4 linked regions of the Nothobranchius furzeri genome follow. The protein of the gene in region 1 purifies or fractionates together with the protein of each later gene. This does not show direct contact. Links are inferred from orthologs where the notes say so. Each region holds a gene or a part of one and is shown in the gene's direction. Other genes may lie near its edges. The genes, in order: lin7c, pals1b, rho guanine nucleotide exchange factor 26 and dlg1b.

What was found.
Region 2: the proteins of lin7c (region 1) and pals1b purify together in Homo sapiens (affinity purification with mass spectrometry; 3 studies listed by BioGRID and IntAct, counting the BioPlex papers as one, with this or other methods). This does not show direct contact. The link is inferred for Nothobranchius furzeri from reciprocal best matches to the Homo sapiens genes LIN7C and PALS1.
Region 3: the proteins of lin7c (region 1) and rho guanine nucleotide exchange factor 26 purify together in Homo sapiens (affinity purification with mass spectrometry; 3 studies listed by BioGRID and IntAct, counting the BioPlex papers as one, with this or other methods). This does not show direct contact. The link is inferred for Nothobranchius furzeri from reciprocal best matches to the Homo sapiens genes LIN7C and ARHGEF26.
Region 4: the proteins of lin7c (region 1) and dlg1b purify together in Homo sapiens (affinity purification with mass spectrometry; 4 studies listed by BioGRID and IntAct, counting the BioPlex papers as one, with this or other methods). This does not show direct contact. The link is inferred for Nothobranchius furzeri from reciprocal best matches to the Homo sapiens genes LIN7C and DLG1.

What each region holds. Positions count from the first base shown.
Region 1 is NC_091749.1:64,461,688-64,467,010, forward strand, and holds the start of lin7c (protein lin-7 homolog C), read left to right. Parts: upstream 1-1,835; 5' UTR 1,836-1,995; coding exon 1,996-2,032; intron 2,033-3,757; coding exon 3,758-3,876; intron 3,877-3,966; coding exon 3,967-4,038; intron 4,039-4,131; coding exon 4,132-4,341; intron 4,342-5,323. UniProt on the Homo sapiens protein: Plays a role in establishing and maintaining the asymmetric distribution of channels and receptors at the plasma membrane of polarized cells.
Region 2 is NC_091742.1:8,457,777-8,462,922, reverse strand, and holds the start of pals1b (MAGUK p55 subfamily member 5b), read left to right. Parts: upstream 1-1,746; 5' UTR 1,747-1,937; intron 1,938-3,958; 5' UTR 3,959-4,112; coding exon 4,113-4,440; intron 4,441-5,146. UniProt on the Homo sapiens protein: Plays a role in tight junction biogenesis and in the establishment of cell polarity in epithelial cells.
Region 3 is NC_091753.1:51,607,000-51,612,345, reverse strand, and holds the start of rho guanine nucleotide exchange factor 26, read left to right. Parts: upstream 1-1,729; 5' UTR 1,730-1,867; intron 1,868-2,217; 5' UTR 2,218-2,305; coding exon 2,306-3,664; intron 3,665-4,269; coding exon 4,270-4,321; intron 4,322-4,398; coding exon 4,399-4,541; intron 4,542-5,346. UniProt on the Homo sapiens protein: Activates RhoG GTPase by promoting the exchange of GDP by GTP. Required for the formation of membrane ruffles during macropinocytosis. Required for the formation of cup-like structures during trans-endothelial migration of leukocytes.
Region 4 is NC_091751.1:34,839,514-34,844,191, reverse strand, and holds part of dlg1b (disks large homolog 1), read left to right. Parts: intron 1-750; coding exon 751-846; intron 847-1,431; coding exon 1,432-1,485; intron 1,486-1,570; coding exon 1,571-1,621; intron 1,622-3,538; coding exon 3,539-3,663; intron 3,664-4,678. UniProt on the Homo sapiens protein: Essential multidomain scaffolding protein required for normal development. Recruits channels, receptors and signaling molecules to discrete plasma membrane domains in polarized cells.

The sequences.
Region 1 (5,323 bases):
GATGATAATAACCCGCTGGAGTGATGTTTCACAATTACAAGAACTCGACATCAGAAGGAGCGTGCCTACATGTTCAAGTGCAGGCTAGTTGGGTACACATCAGGCGTGCCCGAGTTTGACAGTGATGGATCCAACCACCCATACATCTGTGTACATTTATGCACTCAACGTTTTGTTGTGACAGTAGGGTAATCCTGTCTTTGAGTCCGAAGAACAATCATCACCGATTTCATGGAGCTTTACACGATCAGAAGGAAAAGGTAGTCTTTGCTTCTGGGAGGCTTCTGCAGCTTTACATCAATGTTCCCTCCAGCGGCGCATTAGAGGGTGAGAAAACTTCCCTTGCCGGGTGTCGACGCCGTCGTTCAAGGTTGAACTAGGTCAGCAAAAACCAAATCCTCAGTATGGAAGATTTCTAAATAAACACATAAAATGCACCGAATGTTTCATCAAGATTTCCGGAGAAACACTTCATTTTACTTCCTCCTCTCCAACCTGAAGGTAAGTGCGACTAACGAGGACGCTGCAACTTTCTGAGATCTGCCGAACGAAGAAAAATAAACTCTGCCTTGATGGACCCACCAGTGACAGCAGTTGGAATTCTGTGAGGTATCTTTGTTTTGCTTTGTTTGAAGCACAATTTAAACTACTTAGACTCAAAGAGAGACGACAAGCATGCAGTAGATCCTTAAATGTGCTGCTGTCGTAAACATCAAACAACGGGCTTCTTTTCAAGGCCACAATGCAGCTGCAGGAAAAAAAACTGCCCTGCTCTTCAAAGAAATTCCACCTTAAGTTGGAGTTGAAGCCGTTTTGCCCTAGTCAAGTACTAACGTATCCTCTGCATAAAAAAATACAATGAATCAAACAGGGAAGCTTGCTCCATAAAGTATGTGCTCCAGTTTCTCTGAACAGAGACCTTGGGCCATTTTCGTTGCACTCTGCAAGCAAGAAGACGTCTAATTATAGATTTAATGTGAGCATCAAAAGAGCTTAGAGACAATACATGAATACTGTGGCATTTATTTGACCCAGGTTTGTCCCTGATGAATGAAAACAAGCAAATCAGAGCATCTGTTGTCCAATAAAGGAAATTACTGATGCAGCACAGTGTTGGAGATCCAGTCGTACGTCACAGCAGGGTTCCGTTTTTCACCACCAGCTTTTCAAGGTAAATTGTTTGTGTTTCATCACCAGCTGGGGTGGGGTCAGAAATGAATCATCCTGCAAAGTTTCAGCCCACAGAGAGCAGCTGTTTTCTGCTGATTTATGAACCAGAGCCTCTAGAAGAGCTGCAGCAAACCAGAGGAGGGCACTAAAGAGGCTGCTCCTCCCATCAGCTTTCCTGGATACCATCCAGAACATTCATTCAAGCTTCCTAACAAGGTTCCTGGTGTCCAGACACTGACAGGGTGCAATCTGATGAAGACTGGAAAAACTGAGTTTGATGAGCTGAAATTATTATTTGCTATTAAGAAAGTGAAAAATATCAATAAAAATGTTGCTTTGGTTACTCATCATCATCTCATTCATATTTCTATAAAGCTAAATCAAACCTAGAAACCTAATCTTGAACTAAAAGTATTCAGAATGACACTAAACTTCTAAAATGAAGTTTTCTGTTCCAGATTTAGTTACAGAAGTAACTGCTACAAAATTTGTGATTTTGTTGCTGCGTCTGATCTCTTAAAATTTCACATCAATACAAATAAACAAGATAAGAAATACGCAGAATTCAATCTGTCATTTATAATTACCTAAAAATGTCAACAGAATGCTTTGTCCACCGAGTAATCAGCTTTACTAGGGTCCCTGAACGCACCATGACACTGGCAGCTAGCCTAGCCGAGCTAACTTAGCTAATCTGATTTATCGTGCCAGTTAAGCGTACGAAACGGTCGGCTGGATTTACGAATTTAGTTTTTTTTTTTTTTTTTTTGTATATTTCTTGTATCGCAGTATCTATTTAATACCAGATAGCCTCTCATTTCGAGAATGGCATCTCTGGGGGAACCTGTGCGACTGGAAAGAGGTAATGTTAATTAGCTAGCTAGCTTTATTTGTTGTGAACGAGAGACGTTTACCCAGTTTAGCTCTAGTTGTTTGAATCAAACTGGGAGTTGTTTTTTGGTACATATTTTGACATTTGCTTGTCATAAATGTATATATCTGATATTGCCCGTAGAGCTGCGTTTTACTTGACCAAGCTAAACGAAGCATACCTTAGCGGTATTTGTTTAATTCGCTCACTAGCTAAGTAGCTAATAACAGCAGCGATTGACCAGCCCAGTCAGTATGTTGGGAAATAAATGCGAGGTATAATATTGTCATTAAAGCAGTAAAGGCACGTTTTGCTTCTCAGAAATTACACGTCGAACATGACGCAAATTGCATTTGTTAAAGTGAAATAAGCTGTAATTGTCACATCTGTGTAAAAACAAGTGAAAGTATCAGTCCGACTTTCATTGTGAGCCAGCTCTGGTCACAAACATCAAAGAAAAACTAAGAAATCTTTAATCGGAGCTTGTTTACTGAGTGCTTTTTGAAATCGATTTTAAATATATTTCTGAATTGAACTGGGAGCTCATGAAGAGATATTTGTAATGCAAACTTTATTTCTGCCAGTATCCTGCTACATATCTTAATTTTTTGATATTTTGAAAAATTGCAGGTTGTTTTTAATCACTTAGAAACCGTTGAAAGTAGGTGATGTGTATTTTAGCCTTAAATGTACTCGTCTCTAGTGGCTTTAAAAGTGTTCAAATGATCAAATCTGTTGTGGGAACTCGTTTCTCTTCCATTTATGCCGATTATCACTTGTTAGTCGCTTTGGACAAAAGCGTCTGCTAAATACATAAACAAACATTTAGTTAATAAATGTCAGGAATCTGATCATTTAACATCGGTCTGTGCCGCTCAATCGAGATGACTTTAAATGTGCATTATGTAGAAATTAAGTAAAAATGACATCCTTTGGTAAAATTTGGTTACGTCAACCACATTAAAAAACTCTGGAGCTTTTTGCCGGCCGTCGTCAAATTACAGTTGTCTGCGCTGCAGTGTTAGCTCGCAGGAGACACGACAACCCAACTCACTGATGGTAAACAATAACTATGTCCCTCCTTCCTTTGTTTTGAAAAAAGAAAAAAACTGATAATCCCTGCAGCCAGCTGGAAATGAAATATGTTTCAGTAGAACTTTCCTCGCAAAATGACCAAAACATGACTCATTTGGGATTTTCTCGCTGTAAAATTCTCACTATATTTCCACATACTGCACCTTTAATAATACATAATGAGTGTGATTGATAAACAAGTTTTGGCCTTCCTGTGCAGTAGGGGGTGCTGTTTATATTTTACAGTCATTTATTTCACATGTAATTTTTTACTGGTTGATATAAAAACCCTCTGAACTATTTAAAATTTTCTTAAAAATTTTTACCCAGCAGATGTTCTCTTTTTTTATTTTTCAACACCATTCAGGATTTTGAATCTGCTTCATTTCACTTATGCAGATCACTTCTTTCAGAACAAACCCAATGGAAGTCTTAGAATATTTAAAGACATGTCCAGTAAAAGACAAGAATATAAATCAAATAGTCCTTTTACGTAGATTTATCGAGCACCTTTTCTGCTTTTACTTTTAAGACTTGAGTGCTGGCATCAATACAGGCAAATTTAATGCTCATTTTAATCTTTTATAGTGGTTTGTTTTGGACTGTGTGTAAGCTGTGATGGCATTATGCTCTCTTTGATAGATATCAATCGTGCAATTGAGCTGCTTGATAAGCTGCAGAGAACAGGGGAAGTGCCTCCGCAGAAGCTGCAGGCGCTGCAGCGAGTCCTACAGAGTGAATTCTGTAACGCTGTCAGAGAGGTGAGACTCTTCATTCCAACTCTAAACTCCACAGATTTTTCTTCCTCCTTGTTATAAAGTTCTGTTCGTTTGGTGCTTTTTCCCCCTCAGGTTTATGAGCATGTGTATGAAACGGTAGACATCAACAGCAGTCCTGAGGTCAGAGCCAACGCCACAGCTAAAGTAAAGCTCATACACAAGAAATCTCCTCCGTCTCAAAACTACTTTATGCATCAATTGTTGTACATTTTTAAAGAGTTTGTTTTATTTTCAAAGGCTACTGTGGCAGCTTTTGCAGCAAGTGAAGGACACTCCCATCCTCGTGTTGTGGAACTGCCCAAGACAGAAGAAGGTCTGGGTTTCAATATAATGGGCGGAAAGGAGCAAAACTCGCCTATTTACATCTCGCGGATCATCCCAGGAGGCATCGCTGACCGACATGGAGGCCTGAAAAGAGGCGACCAGCTTCTCTCTGTTAATGGGGTGGTACGTGCAGCTCAGAGAATCATTATTAGGTCAAGAATTGTAAATTTGAATCTTAATATGAAGCACGTATCAGGTTTTAGAGCATGTTGCTTTTTTGGGGAGGGATAATCCATGCATCTTCAGAAATTTCTGCATACAGAAAAGCCCAAACGACTGACTTTTAGTGTTAGAAGTTTTTTTAATATTCTGGTTTTTAAAGGGCTACGTGTTCATAATCCTGTGATCACTCATAAGCAGGTATAAAGTCTGAGTCCGATTACATCTCCATTAGTTAGCTTGATGAGGAGGACGAGGAAGCCCCATCAGAATAAAAGTCGTTTGGTCATAACTGATGATCTTCATACGTTGGTGGGGTGCAACGGATCATCATTGATCCGTACGTATCTCTCTCTGCGGTTCGGCCACACGCGGTTCACGGATTGGTCACATGAAGGCCGGAGGCGCTAGCTGTGCTGTCCAAAGGAGAAACGCACAGCGATGGTCATGAAGGAGGAGGAGAGAGAAGCTTGAAAAACCACCTGCATCATTTAGGTCATATTTATAGGAGCATTTTGGCTCCCCTCTAAAAAAAACAATGATTCAAACGGCAAAAATAAACACACACGCGCTTCTCCCGTCTGTTGTCGCAGTGCCGCACACACACACACACCTCCGATCGCTGTGAAAGGAAGGAGACTGTGGCGCATGAAACATGCCTTGGACATAACAAACGTGGCAGGACCTGCAAATATTGTTGGAGACAAATCTGTTAAAGAGGATGAAAGAAAAATAAACAGCGCGTAATGCACAGTGATGCGGACGCTGAGCCGATCTGTCGTGGTGAAGAGGGAGCTGAGCCAGAAAGCCAGGCTCTCCATTTACCGGTCGATCTACGTCCCAATCCTCACCTATGGTCATGAGCTTTGGGTAATGACCGAAAGAACGAGATCGCGGATACAAGCGGCCGAAATGAGTTTCCTCCGTAGGGTGGCCGGGCTCAGCC
Region 2 (5,146 bases), on another chromosome or scaffold:
GACAGTACGACAAACCAGTCTTTGGATAGTCTCCAGGTAAAAAGTGACAGGTGTTTCACAGCGTCAAAAGGGGACCCTCCTTGGGTCAGCGAGTTCAGCTTTTATTCTGAAAGGTACCGTTGCTTGGTTCACAAAACAACAGATTTTTCCCAGCTTGATGGGTTTCAGCTTAAAAAGAGAAGTGCAGAATGGCCTGTCCATACTTCACTTAACATGCGGTGAACTTCATGGGATCTTGAGAACTGAGATCTTGAGGCTGTTTCATGCACTCTGGCGCTGTGTCAAAGGGAACTGTGGAAAAGGTTAAATAACCTTGGAGGAATAGCTCCTTCATCAAGTTACACTTGATTAGTTTTTAGGTTATAACAATTTGCAAGTTAATCAAAACACAAAAACTAAACATATCAAGTTTTACTCAAGAAAATAATACATTTAAAATATATTTCTCTGAAAGAAATTAGTGAAGTTAAACGTAAATGCAAAAAGCTTAAATTTCCCTTATCCAGACTTGTTTGTGATAATTAAATGCTCTGACTTGTAACCTCTGAGGTCAACCTTTTGCTCTGAAAGTTTAGATTTCATGTGATGTCAGATTAAATATTGGGCTTGGACATTTAGGGTTTTGAACATAATTCTAAAAAGACTTTAGAATCTGCAAAAAATGACCTATAGACACAACAAATGCATAATTCTGGTGAACCTGTCCCTAAATTTCAGACCTCTCTGGCTTCTCCTGGTGATCATCATGTGATCTGCAAGGTCCCTCATATAATCTCTTTATTAAGTCAAATTAGACATTTTTCTGCTCTACAGGGCTTGCGCTGTCATTTTAATGTGTGAAACAGTAAAGACTTGCAATAAAACTGTGTACCATTCATAGAACAGTGCCATAAATATAGTTTAGAGGATATCATGTATAATTTATCATTGAGTTGGGGTCACTGTTGATGCAATGAGGCACTTTGTGATAGCTCCAGGATTTCTTCATGGAGAGATGACGTCTCAGCTGGACTGGAAGCTCCTTCTGTGCCTGCGGGAAAAGTATAAATGCACAGAGCAAAGGTGGGAAGATGTGAACTAAGATGAATCCAGTAGACACTCCAGTCCTTTCTCAAACCCTTTTCAAACTTGTCAAGTTGTGTGATGTTGCCTAAGAATGTTTTTTTAATGCAATGGCCTAAGTGTGGCAGACACACTTTTGAATAAATATTACGCTAATTTTCTTTTTAGTGGCTTTTATCTGCAAATGGAGTGATATTTGCAGTTCTATTACAAAAGCTATTCTAAACTATTTTGATTTCATGTGTTGAAATATGCTTCATCAAGAAAAATATACCTTAGCTAGAATGTTAAAAAATGCAAACATGTAAGTCTCATCACTGTTGGAATTATGATTTGGTGTAGTGCTGATTTGGGTACTTATAATTTAATTTATCTGATTATGCTTGCCGGATGTTCTTAATGCTTTTTTTTTTAGTTAATTGTGACCTTATGGCACCGTTGAATAATTACAATGGAGTTTACAGTAAATAAAATAACGAAATTAATCATTATAATTAATTGTTCTACAGGTATATATTTAAAATTGATTTTTTTGGTAAAAGTCTAAATTCATAAACTCTGAGTGTCTATTTTAATCCGCCTTATTCAATGTTTTACATAGTATTGTTATTTACGACATTGTCGTTACGTGTCTGTCGGAAAGATGGCGCTGTAGAGCTGCAGTGTTGCCAAGGAAACGATTGAAAACAACCGGTGGCGCAGTTCAGAAGTGTCCCGACTGCGCTTGGACAAAACTCAACAACCGCTGAACGCGTTCCTAGGGAGAAGACGGCAAGTTTCTCATTCACGAGCTGCTCGGATGTTCTCCGGAGATTTTATTTTAAAAGAGCCGCTTCCTGCTCCCGAAACTCGGACTCATCGCTGGTTTTGAAGTGGTGAGTAGAGGCTCTCTGTAACGGGACGGCTATGCTGTTAGCTTAGCAGCGATGTGCCGCTAGTCTCTGAGCTAAATTGGGCGCTTCGGTTGGTGTTAAACACCGACGATAAAACCAGAAACTTTGTTTTTAAGTGAAAAACTTTTGTTATTCTACAGAGTTGGTTTGTATGAAAGTTTAACTTACTTTGCAAAACTATTCGAACACGTTTTTATGTCACTGCTGTCTTTAGTGTTTCCTTGAATCGACTTAAAATAGTTTACCCCAACTAGCCTCTAGCTGTTTGGGCACTATTTCTAATAAAGGAAGCATTCAAGTTTATTAAACATGTGATTAGCGTTGCTTGATAATTTAAATATAACTTGAACGTTCAAACGTGGGGAAAACTTAAAAAAATAATGTATTTGTGTCACCACACGGGTTGAGCAATGTCCAAGTCGGGAAAAAAACTATTTTTCTAGTGTTTATAGTCATATTTTATGTTTTATTTCACTAAACAAATATCTGTGTACGTAATAATCTGCTCTACTGTTTAAAAATATGTTTTTGACACAATATGACTTTATGCACATTGTCAAACACGAGAGGATGGTGAGAGTAAGACAAGTATCTCAATTTATGTAAGAAAATGTGCTTTACTGATTTGTTTGGTCATATATAATATATAAAATGCAGAGGGCTGAATTTGAGGCCACAAAGCGGAGCCAGTTTCTTTGTATCACCTTGTTTGGTTTGTGCACTTCCTCTCATCCTCACTTCTGTACCCAGGCGCCACTCTCTACCCTGCATCCTTCTCAGAACTGCTTCAACCAGTTAGCAGCAGCAGAGCATGAGATCTCAAGCTTAATTAAGCCCACGGGAACAGATGGTCTGCTGGCAGTCTCTGCTGCTCCTCAGCAGTACCCTGCTACACTAAACACAACTAAATGGTTCTGGAGGGGAGGGTTTAGGAGGAGTGGACCTGCCAGCCGTGATTAGCTGTGGAGAGTTGCTGCCAGTTAATTGTAGGGGACACGACTGACTTTGACACAGGAATGTCAAACGTGGCTTTCAAGGACAATGTGCATGTGTTTGATTCTCATTTTCAATCTGTGGCAATTTGATTTGCAAAGAAGGGCAAAAATTTTTTAAATAAGAGCGATACAATCATTAATGACACAAATATCAAAAATTTTACTTTAATAATGTGCAAAAACAACTCGGCTTTTAATCCTTTTACTGTTTTCGAACAGGATTTTCTATTAGAAAATTTCCACTTTGAGGCACGTCATACCATCAAATCCAGATTATAACATCAACAGAATAGATCTTAATCTACAACATTCACAACATTACCCAGGTGGTAATGCATATCTATGTGCCATTTTCAGTTTTAATTTTTTTAATTCACCTAATATACTCAAGTCGAGTCAGTTTATTTTTGTTTCACAAGGTACAAAATGTAAAATTATTCAGAAATCCATATCAATTAGCAAATACAGTAAACAAAACATTAAGTAGAATCAAATTATTTAAAATTATGAAGGTGAACTCCGCTTCCAAGATATGCTGAACAGATTTGTGCTTTATTTGAGTATCAACACAAGCAACAAGCTATATTTTGGCTGAGGTGTTCTGGTGGACAGGTGAGCCTGGATGAGGCTGTGTAGAAGGGATTTAAGGTGACCGAATCCTGAAAGCTCTCCATGTTAGAAATTAGATTAGTGGAGAGACGGACGAGAGTGGAAAGGAGTAAAAGTTTGTCCTGATCGACACGCAGCCAGATTATGTGTTTTAGCGAAGCCCCAGGTAGTTTGTGAGTTTGACATTGATGTTGTGTGAGACTATGAACAAAGTCTGCTGAGTGAGCAGAAGGATAGCACGCCCAAACAAATCCCTTAACCTTTTTTCAATAGTTGTTGATACAGTCTGAGATTTTTGCTGAAGTTCAAGTTTTAAAAACTAAAAAAAAAAATACATTGAATGATTTTAAGTTAAAACATTTCTAAAACAAATTATTTTTATTTGTGTTTTTGTATCAGGAGGAGCGATGACTGAACCGGCACAGAGGACTCCATCCTCCAATGGCGTGCCTTGACCCTTGAGCTGATAGTTTCCAGCAGCAGCTTCTCGTGACGCTCTGGCAGACCTCAGGAAACCCTGGGGTGGTTTGAACTGTACGCCGCAGCAACAGGGATGATAACATCCCATATGAACGGTTATGTGCAAGAGGCCTCTGGTCAGGCCATGAGCCACAGAGAGAGGGCTGTGGACTGTCCGGGGCAGGAAAGCAGCCTTGTCAAATCCCCTCACTGCAGTGCCCACATGGAGAGGATCCAATATTACCAAGAGGAGCTGAGGAGGAGGAGAGAGGAGGACAACAAGGGGAAACATGACATTGATCCAAACGCCTCTCTGAGGCTCAAAAAGCTGTCGCAGAACCAAAAAGTTGGCACTGACAATCCCACCTTTGAGAGGAAGGAAAAGGCTTCCGAAGATGCGGCCTGTCTGGGTCCTGTTGTTGGTGAGTTCAGTGGAGGAAGTGGGTGCTGGCAAAGGCTCAAGGAGGTTAAACGGAAGAAGAGAAGGAGCAACGCAGCCCTCAGGGAGGAATAGACTTGTGAGGTTTTTTAAAGAGCAAGTCGCGCCCTACCAGAGTTTTACTCCACTCCCACTTCATGTTTGAAAAATGCAACAAATGTTGTTGCCTGGCAGACCAAGAGGGCGGAGCCACCAACAAATACACACACAGGCTCACAACAACATTGTGACGTCATAATGTACCAGCTAACGTCATAGTGTACCTCTTAGCCAATAACGATGGCAGATTTAAAGATAATGCAGTGCAGAGTTTTTACCTGACGAGGACGCAACACTGACAGTTTTAGACAGAATATTTAAATTTGAACTAAGATGCACTAAAGTACTAGCCTGGCCTGCCAGACTCGTCCTCTGTTTAATTCTGCACAGAGGAGTCTGGTAACACAGGCAGAGAGGCACTTGAGGGGCGGGACTAGGCAGCTCAAAAATGACCAATCAGAAAAAAGACGGAAATCCCGACTGTACCGCACGATGCTGTAGTTTTCTAGTTGTAAAAAAAATTGCATCTGACAACGGCGCAAACATCTTCTAATTTTTAGAAGAAACGCTTTTAGTGATTCTACTTGTGGTTTTAAAGACATTTGAGTCATTTGGAACAGAGGAAAGAGTCGCAGCAAACTCCGCCGCTG
Region 3 (5,346 bases), on another chromosome or scaffold:
ATTTTTTATGATTATAATAGGTTTTTCCTGCAGGCTGAACATTAATAAAGTCTTCTACACCTATTTCCATTCTGATAGACAATAAGCAGTGAAATGCTAGGAGTTGAAAATCCTCACATATCTATGTCACACTGTGAATTTGCATATATGACCTTGCCTATCTTGGCTTGCGCCCACCCACAGGAAGGCTTTTGTTTTTTGTTTTAATTATGGGGCGAGGAGAGAGTGTTTTGTTGAGTGACTTTGCAACATGGCTGAATGTCTTCTGCTAGCCAGTAAGAAGGGAGGTGTGTGCATATCCCACCAGCTAACTTCTGCACCTCAGAGCAGGCTTATCAAAGCTTTTCTCTACACTAGAGAAGAGTGCAAATGTATTGAAAGAATGAGTAAACCACAACTTAAAATTAATTATTTTTAGAAAATGCACTTTTGTTTATTTGCAAATGTATTTTGTTTTATTCCAGAAGCTAGTAGGTAATTACGTCTGTTTGCATTTCTCAAAAAAAAAAAATCCATAATCACATTTCATTTTGACTCTAAGCCTTTTTCTGGGCACATTTAACATTTTCACTATTTTCTACTGAAAATATACAGACAAATTAAATTCAATTTTAATTTGACAGAAGCAGAAAGAGTTTCATTATGAGGAGCTTAATTACTAAGACAATGAGCTGCAGGTTGTTCAGGTTCATTACGAAAACTTTTGAAAAATGTAGAAGTTGGAACATGAAAGGGGGTGTCCACGAAGGGGTTTTTACTCCATGTAAACGTCCTGTGAGGCAGATGGACTGATAAAGCATATTTAAATGAAATAACACAATGATTCACAAATAGAATTTAAACGAAATGTTTTTTGCTGTTGTCATTTTTAGTTAGTTTAATAAAAAAAGGCAACACTCTGGAAGCAAAACTTCAGATTGCACTTAGTCTGACAGATGTTTCTCAATCAATGATATGAGCTATCATTGGCAAACAGGGCAATCATGACCCCTAGTGGTCAAAAAACGACAGCACAAAAAGCACTTTGACAGTAGGGAGCAATTAAGCGCTATAAAAGCTGGCATTTACTTGGAATGAGTAATTTGTTTTTAAGCCTGGAGGAATGCATGTGTGTTCATTTAATGGGGACATTCTGTCACACACGGAGTTGTGCAATCAAAAATGCATGAAAACACGACTCACACATTGCCCAATGCATTTTAATGGAATGGTTATGAAATCTATAAATCAGGACGAGGTCATCAGAAATGATTATACTTTATAATGTTCGTCCACAGTGATGCATATGTGGGTAATAAAGTAGATTTGATACACACGTTTGAGTTTAATTGTTTTTATATAGTTCCATTTCTTGTTGTGTTCAGATATTTGGCAGTATCACAATCTACCACACGGTGGCGCCAAAGAAAAGCAGGTAAAATAGCTTTTAAAACAGGCGTGTTGGAAAAGTGGGAAAACCTTTTGGAAAATTGACTATCGAGGACTTACTTGTAAAATAACAGTTTCTAATTACACTTTTATTGTAGCCTACACCCTGTTTTTCATCACATTTGCTTGATTTTCATCAACAAGCCTGGCCAACTGCTACAAAAAGCTTCATTGTCTTCCCGGAAACCCTCTCCAATATGCTGAAGTAGAAACTATCTGAGTGAATTCCTGAACTTGAGTACTGCTGTTCCTCCTCCTCCACCTCCCCCCTGCATTCAAACTCCTCAGCGCTCCCACAGACGCGGTCAGGGTGGCAGGCATGAATCCTCTCTGTCAGTAACTCCTTAAACTTCTCTGTTTTTTGGTCATCATTTCGCTAAAAATGCGCTTTTCGGACAGCTCAGGCGTAAAGAGCACGTCCAGAGTGATAGGTTAGGAGGTAAGTTTAACTTTTAACCTGCTTTTAGTTTCTCCTGGTAATCAGAAACAGCACCTTGCCTCATAAATAGATTAAAAACAACACTAAAATCTGGTGCCTTGTTGTTTCCTGTTTGGACTTCTACAGTAACTGCTCGTCATCTCACCAGTTTGTAATTAGGTCATTTCACTATGATGAGTAAATACAAAAAGATCTGTCTTGACTGGTTTGCCTTCTGTTTTCTGACCACATGTGTCTTGTCTGTAGTTGTGTCTGCTCCAAGTCCCTGTTAATGAGTAAACGTTTGGAATTTGTACACTGTCCTGAGCTCTTGAATGCTGAGTGGTGTTTTTCCTCTTGTGCATCTCAAGCGGAGGATATCTGCTCCCCAAAAGGGCTCTGTAGTTTGCTCCAGCCTGGAAGTTCAGCCACAAACGGCAACGAGGACTCGCAACAACTATGGATATTGGCAGCGATGTCGATCTGTCCAATAATAACATCACGCCTTTGTGGAAACTGCGTACAGACCACCGTAAAAGCTCCCTGGACATGAGCAGGTCTAAGCAGCGGCCCGTTAGTTATCGCATAAACGGGGTCATGACTGCTGATGTCCCTGTGGAGGACAGCCAGCCAGCTGAGAGACAGGCGGGATCAGCTCAGTCTGCTCACAACAACACCGCGGTGATGAAGCACGTTTTACAGAAGCCCTCAAGGAAAACCAGAGTGGTTCGGAGCATAAGCATAGGCCATCTGTCCAGTGGGCGATTCTCTCTGGCCAAATTTAGATCTGACAATAACAAATCTGCTTCACTGGACAACAAAGTGTGTAATGGAGACAGTGGCAGAGGGAATACCAGTAATGGACAAGCTGTATTGTCTGAAATCACCTCCAGTCCCAAGAGTCTCAGCTTACAGAGAAAACAGAATTCATTTTCATCCGAAGCTGATCCTTTCAGCTGTTCTACAAATGTCAACAACAACAACTATGAAACATTTTCACGATCCTCTTCATCGAGCTCCTCACCGTCATCACACGGTACCCTCACACCCTCCAACAGCTCCACGTCCAGCATCCCCTCACTCTTGTCTTTGACCTCCTCTGACCCTTCCACTCCTCGCTCCCCCTCACCAGCAGACCGAGGATTTTCCCTGGTCAGGCAGTCTCGGACATCTTCCTCCTCACAAGACGCCCTGAATGTCTCATCGTCCTCTTCCATCTCCTCCACATCGCCCTTACCATCACTATCCCCAGCTGTCTCGCCTTGTCCGTCGATCATCCTGAGCACCAACAGCGCCGCCGCTTGGAAAATGGGCACCCAGCAGCTCATCCCCAAAGGCTTGGTGTCTGAAACTCGGCTGAGTAAGGCGCATCCTTCTGGAACACAGAGCCAGGGTATGACCAGGCTGGGGTTAGACCTTCCCAAGCGAGGGCAAAAAACACTCAGCATGGTGGAAACGGGAGGCTACTTTTCTACTGGAGGGGGCCACTCTGAAGAGGCAGACAGAGGGAGTGAAAGCCCCCTTTCAAGGAAAGGTTTGAGGAGTACCTCTTACAGGAGGGCAGTTGTGAAGGCAGAAGAAACGGAAATACCCTCCGTAGATCAAATGACTCATCGGTTGTCACAACCTGCCATTAGCGGGCTTACTTTGGCTATCCCAAGTTCTCCTGATAGCCCATCACATCCTGTCACCTTGAGCCCTTCGAGTCCTGGAGCAGCCATCCCTACGAGCCCCAGCACACCTAAAACTGCCAGCCCCAAGACTCCAAAGCCTCCGAGCCCTCAGGTGGAAAAATCTAAAAGCAAAAGCAAGAAACTGGTAGGTACATCTGTTATCCAAAGGAATGCTTGAACATAATTGTCTTGAGACGCCTGCATTAGTTGGACCAACTTTGAAAGGTCTTATTGAGATTTTTATTGTTTTAATCTTCATCAAATTACATTTTCCCTCTTAATTTGTTGTAAAGAAAGTTTAATACAACATTTCGCTGTTTGAAAAGTTCTTATGTCTAAACTTCATTCTGATAATCCTAGCATAACCTGTATACCTTTGTATTTTCCTTAGCTTGAAACAAGTTATGTTTTGTCTTTGTCTCAGTTAATAACTCTGATGGCTTCTCTGTGTTGCACAAAGATTGCTTTGACAGATTTTCAGTATCAGAAGGGCTAAAGTCCGAATTATAAAACCACTGCACAAGCTGACCATTGTGGAACAAACTTAGCAGCGGCAGACGTGAGGACAAGGCCTCACAGGGAAACAATTAACTTGTTTGTTGGAAGACCAGACGCAACGAGACGCTACGTCTAAACAAACACACTTAAAAACACACTGACTCTGTCATTAAATATGTGTCAGGAAAGGAGGTCAAGAACAGCTGGTGTTTTGGTCCCATGGAGTTTAAAGTTGTGACACTTTTCTTGTAGACTCTAAATAAGAAGAAACTCTTGATAGCTCAGCGGACGTTTGACAGTGAAGGTGAGACGCAGTCATCTTACTCTTCTTTGTGATCAGTGCGCTTCTTCATCTTTAGTTTTTTTTTCCCCTTTTTTCAGAGGAAGAGCTTTACCAGAACTACCAAGAGAAGGCTTTGCATAATGATTCCGATGAGGACGCCTATTCCAGGGAACCCAAACCTGATAACGGCATTGTCGTGCAGTATAGACCAATACGTACTTCTTGGAGCCAGCTCAGCGTGGTTAGACACAACACACACACACACACACACACACACACACACACACACACACACACACACACACACACACACACACGCACACGCACACGCACACGCACACACACCCTAACCCTAAGCAATGCCGTTTTATTCCTAACCCTAACCTCAACTAAAAGTGAATTCTCGCCATACCTTTAAAAGCAGGAATTGGGGGTTTTCTGCACTGTGGGGTGCCACCCACACGCTACAGATTCCTGCCTTCTCCTGATATCTTCTGTGCCCCTTTCTCTCCACACTTCACGCTCACTATCTCAGGGCTGTGGTGGAGAAGTTTTGGAATTCTAGAGCTTTGAAGAATGCTGTCACAACCAGTTTGGCCACACTCCCATACCCATCCTCCCACTGCCCCTGCTTTCCTCTGCCCCTCACTCAAGTTTATCAGCAAGGGAATGTCTTCCTGGGCTCCGGCCGGCCGGGAGTCAGACAGTCCGCCAGAGCCACAGGAAGTCCTGGAAACGCTGCCAGGCTTGATGCCAACATCTTGGCAATCCCTGTGTGCTCGTCAGACTCTAAATATTTTAGAAATGTTGCCTGTAGGGAGGCGCGTGGTGGCTGTGCATTTTGTGATATTGGAACGAAGGGACACCAAAAACTATCAGAAGCAGATGTGCCAATTTAGCGTCCGACTTAAAAATTCCTGTCTTATCTGATCGTTCGTTTGAAGTTGTTGGACTGGAAGCAGAGACTGGTGACGGAGTTAATTAGGATTCGTTTCCATTGCTTGGCACATGTGCACAGGCTTTAATGAATGGGAAATCAAACTGAA
Region 4 (4,678 bases), on another chromosome or scaffold:
TCGAAACCAGAGGTCTTCTGGGTCGCTGCTACCGGAGCGCCTCTAATTGGGCCTCTCTGCCAGCAGCTTTCCGAGCAGCGCCTCAGAACTGGGCCTGTCGGATCAATGCGTTCAATTTTCCCGGCTAATTTTAGCATGTGTTTGTTTTCCATGAGGTTCTGCTCCAGCGGCTCCGATGCTGCAGAACCTCATGGAGGTCTGGTGTTGCATAACAGAAGATGTGATGAAAGTGTCCTCGCTCATCTTCATCAGACCTGCTGGTTGTTCGTCTAGCAGCAGAACCCTCAGTTCTGTTGGGTGGAGATGTGACTTCTCAGATCTTCATCCTTTATTGGGATACTTCTGATCCAGGAACAGTTTTGTTGGGGTTTTGTGTAGAGCTGGCCCTGGTCCTGCAGCAGATCACACACACACACACACACACACACACACACACACACACACACACACACACACACACACACACACACACACACACACACTCGGGGTGGTGTTAATCCACAGAGCTGCACATCAGGACCATCTGGAGGCTGACGTGTCAGAAAATCTGTCAATCACTCGTCCTCCTCCTGTGATTGGTTGATAATTCTGACACTCCACTGCCTTGTCTGGTTAGGCTCCACCCACCCAAAACCAGACCACTCCTTCCTGCCTGGAACACCTTCACACACTCGTCCATCATCCTCCTGCTGCTCATCTGACCTGCTCTCTGTTTGTCTGACCTTTGACCCTCAACATGCTATTGTTCAGCAGGCTGAGGTGGCCCCGCCCTCCTCTCCCATAATCCCTGTGATCCCCATCTCTCCAATCCCAGCCGAGACCACCGCCATACCTCCAGCATCACAGGTCTCGTTTATTTTATTTTACTGCACTCTCTCTCTCTCTCTCTCTCTCTCTCTCTCTCTCTCTCTCTCTCTCTCTCTCTCTCTCTCTCTCTCTCTCTCTCTCTCTCCCTCCATCCTCCATCCTTCCATCATCCACCCCTCCACCCACCCCTCCCTCCACCCAGAGGTTTATCTCTGCCTGGTTTGGCTGCTTGTCTCTCTGTTGACTTCCTGCTGTCCAGCTGTGGCTCTGATGAGCAGATTAGAGATAAAACTGAGGCAGAAATGTCACACTTCCCCCATCCGAGCCCATCTGGCTCCCCCTGCTCAGAAAGCAAGCGAGCAGACCCGCGCTGAGCTGGAGGAGGAGTTGAAGGAGCCCACGGTCTCGTCCTGTCCTGCAGTGTCTGAGCCGTTTAATCTCAGGCTTCATGCTTCAGAACTGCATCTTCTGCAGCGTGAAGAGCGATGATGTACGTACGGCCGCTGGAGGAGGTGTCAGACTAGCAGGGTGGAGCCCGGGCTTCCTGGGTGGATGTTGATGGGTTTCTGTCAGGATGTAGGTTGGTGTTTCCTCTGTGATGCCTGATGTTTGTTGTGTCCTTAGGCCAACCCCCCTCCTGTGGTGGTCAACGCAGACAGCCTGGACACGCCCCCATACGTGAGTTGATTGTCCCCTCAGGTCTCCAGTAGGACACCATCTTCTGAAGGAGTCCAGCTGTGACCCGTCTGTGTCTGTGTTGCAGGTGAACGGGACTGAGGCTGATTATGAGTACGAGGAGATCACGCTGGAGCGGGTAAGGAGGCCAGAGATGACTGTATCTGTAACCTAAACCCACGGCTGCTGGTGCTGGGTGATTTGGACCAAAACCTGCATCTCAGTGTCTTCAGCAGAGTTCTGATAAATGATGCAGCCATGGTGGGAAAGCTCACTGGAACACCACTGTCTCTAAAATTAAAATAAAGCTAAGTTTAGGGCAGACCATTGACCCAGAGATTTTTATGAATCTGTGGATCATTGTTCCTGTTGGAGTGCAGGAACTCCTGTGAGGACCACTTAGAGCTGGAACTGCTAGCGGTAGCATCGCCTGCTAACTACAAACTCACTGTGTGTTTTTATATTGATCATTTTGTTTCTTTATAAAGTTTATTTTTATTTTTGTTTATTTTTTATTGATTTTACAGTCATGGACATGCCGAATCCCAGTTTAGCTAAGTGTGATGAATGGCTTTAATCTGGGAGGAGGTGAGGAGTAGGGTTGGGCATAGATTGGTACCGAGACCAACTGTCAGTTTGTGTCAAGTTTTTTTATTCCGATTCCTAGTTTCGATTCCTAGTTCCGACTTCTAGTGTGCTGCCCGGAAGAGGAATCTGCGGCCGGTCTCCGTGAAAAATAAACATGATCCGCACATTCTGATAAACACATTTCAGAGCTGGTCACACCTGCTGTCTGTCGCTGCTGGTCTGCTACCTGCAGAGAGCCGTGTGCAGCAGCAAGCCCCCCCCCCACCCCCCCCCCACCCCCCCACCCCCACCCCCCCGATCTGATCTGCTAGGTTGTTCCTGTTCCAGCTTCATTTAAGTTTCAGGTTCCCTTCTGACTGAAGCTGCTGCAGCAGGTAGGTGTAGACTCTGTCATCCTGGACATGATCATCCTGAGAGTTTTAGCTGAAAACAGCTGGAAGTTTCTGGATATGTTGGAGACATTTAGCCTCTCATCCCAGAGGCTTCTTCCAGACTTTGGTTGTGGTCAGAAACAAACACACTGGTTGTGCTGCAAGTCTCTTTCTTTTTTTCTCCAAAACATGTTTTTGTCTAAATGAAGATGATGTTATTTTTCATAGAATTACAATTCATGTTGAAGTTAAGATTATTTCATCAAGTAGGACCTGTGGTTAGCTGGCTCATGTAACGCATGTCATGTCTTGAAAGAATCTGAATCGATAGGGACTGGAATCAAAACGAAGAATCGGAATTATTCAAATTCAGACGATGCCCAACCCTACTGAGGAGGTGGAGTTGGGGGTCCTGAAGGGAGACACTGATCTAGAGGATGGCAAACATCTCCCTTCATCAGGACCAGAGTCCTCCAAGCCTTAGATCTTCTCGTCCGTGTTGCCCGGACCCGTGTGACCCAGCTGAGACCACAGGTGATGGGTCACACGGGTCTGGTCCAGGTCTCGCTCTCCTGTCAGAGGGGAACCAGTTTAACTTAGTTTACCTTCACAGAGTGAAACCAGTTTCTGTTGGTGACCTGCAGCTGAGCTTACTTCAGCCCACTTAATGTATATCACCAAACCAGAGTCGTCTCAAAGTCAGCATTCCAGTAGAGCTCAGGTCACTAAGCCAATCAGTAAAAAGTTTCTATATAAGGAACCCAGCAGGTTGCATCGAGTCACTGTCTAGTGTCAGAGTCTTTACAGCAATCCTCATACTAAGCAAGCATGCAGCGACAGTGGAGAGGAAAACTCCCTTTTAACAGGAAGAAACCTCCAGAGGATCCTGGCTCAGTATAAGCAGCCATCCACCATGACTCACTGGGGATTGGGGGATTAATCCAGATTAATTTTAGTCTGATGCTCTTAATCCAAACCTGCTTCCAGAGGAATCCAGATCAGGACCTAGAAAAGACCAACCGTTAAAAATAAATGAAAGTTTAGTCATTTCAGTTCCTCTGTGTTTCTCTCTGATGTGTGGTTGTCATGGTAACCAGGGGAACTCGGGGCTGGGCTTCAGCATCGCTGGCGGCACAGACAACCCCCACATCGGCGAAGACCCCAGCATCTTCATTACCAAGGTCATACCTGGGGGGGCAGCTGCCCAGGACGGCCGGCTCAGGTCAGGCTCTCTCACACACACACACACACACGGGTAACCCTTCACCTACTGGACAAAGGTTTTTAGAGACACACCTGGAGGTTTATTGTGTGGACCAACTGTTCTACTGGAGAAATTTTATTGAGCTTCTGGATGTGGAGGGACCGTTCCTGTTGGAGATGGGTCTACTCCGTCAGTGATGCAAGGCTTTGAACGGGGAGGCAGACGTTTTGAATTTCCAAGGTGTGTACTGTGTCTACAGCTCAGGTGGAGTTCTTGGTGGCCGTTTATGACTGGACCCACAAGAATGCTAGCGTTCAGATGATGAGTAACATCTACATTTCCATAGAAAGGTGCTGCTTTGACACAACGTTTGTGTTGTCCCGTAACTCATAAATAATATCATTGTAACCAGAGCCTACCTTACTTCGTTGTTCTGGTTCTGATAGAACTGGATACGGATAGCAGGCAGCAGCACCTTTCACATCTGCATTCATTATGCAGCAGCAGTGAAAGCAGTTCTGACCTGGCCCACATGAGGTAGAGCAGTTCAGGTCTCGGGTTCTGGACCTGATTCTACTGCGTTTCCTTCCCGTGGGTTTTACCGTGGCACTGCAGAGAGAGAGGAGATGAGGACGCACCTCCAAAGCGTTAGCATTCGTCCATGGTGGTAAAGAAACACTAAACGTTGTCTCTGGCGAGCCGGTTTTGGGCTGAAAGTCCGTCGGGTTATGTTGATGGTAGTCTTTGGGTCTGGTTTGGCTCTGCTACGGGCAGGGCGGGGCGACTCTGAGGACAGACGATAATGTAGTTTAGCTGTCAGCCTGTAGAAGTTCCTGCTGAACTTTATTCTGCATCATGAACCAGGGTGGCCTGGATTTATGTTAAATTCAACTTTAGTCTACCTTTGAGTCAGATGTTTTCTACTTGTTTGCTTGTTTCTTCTCCTCAGAGACACAAGGAGATAATAAGAGTCGCATGTTAGTGTTAGGGTTAGTTAGCTGGTTAGTGAAGGGGAGCTAGCTGTCAATGATTC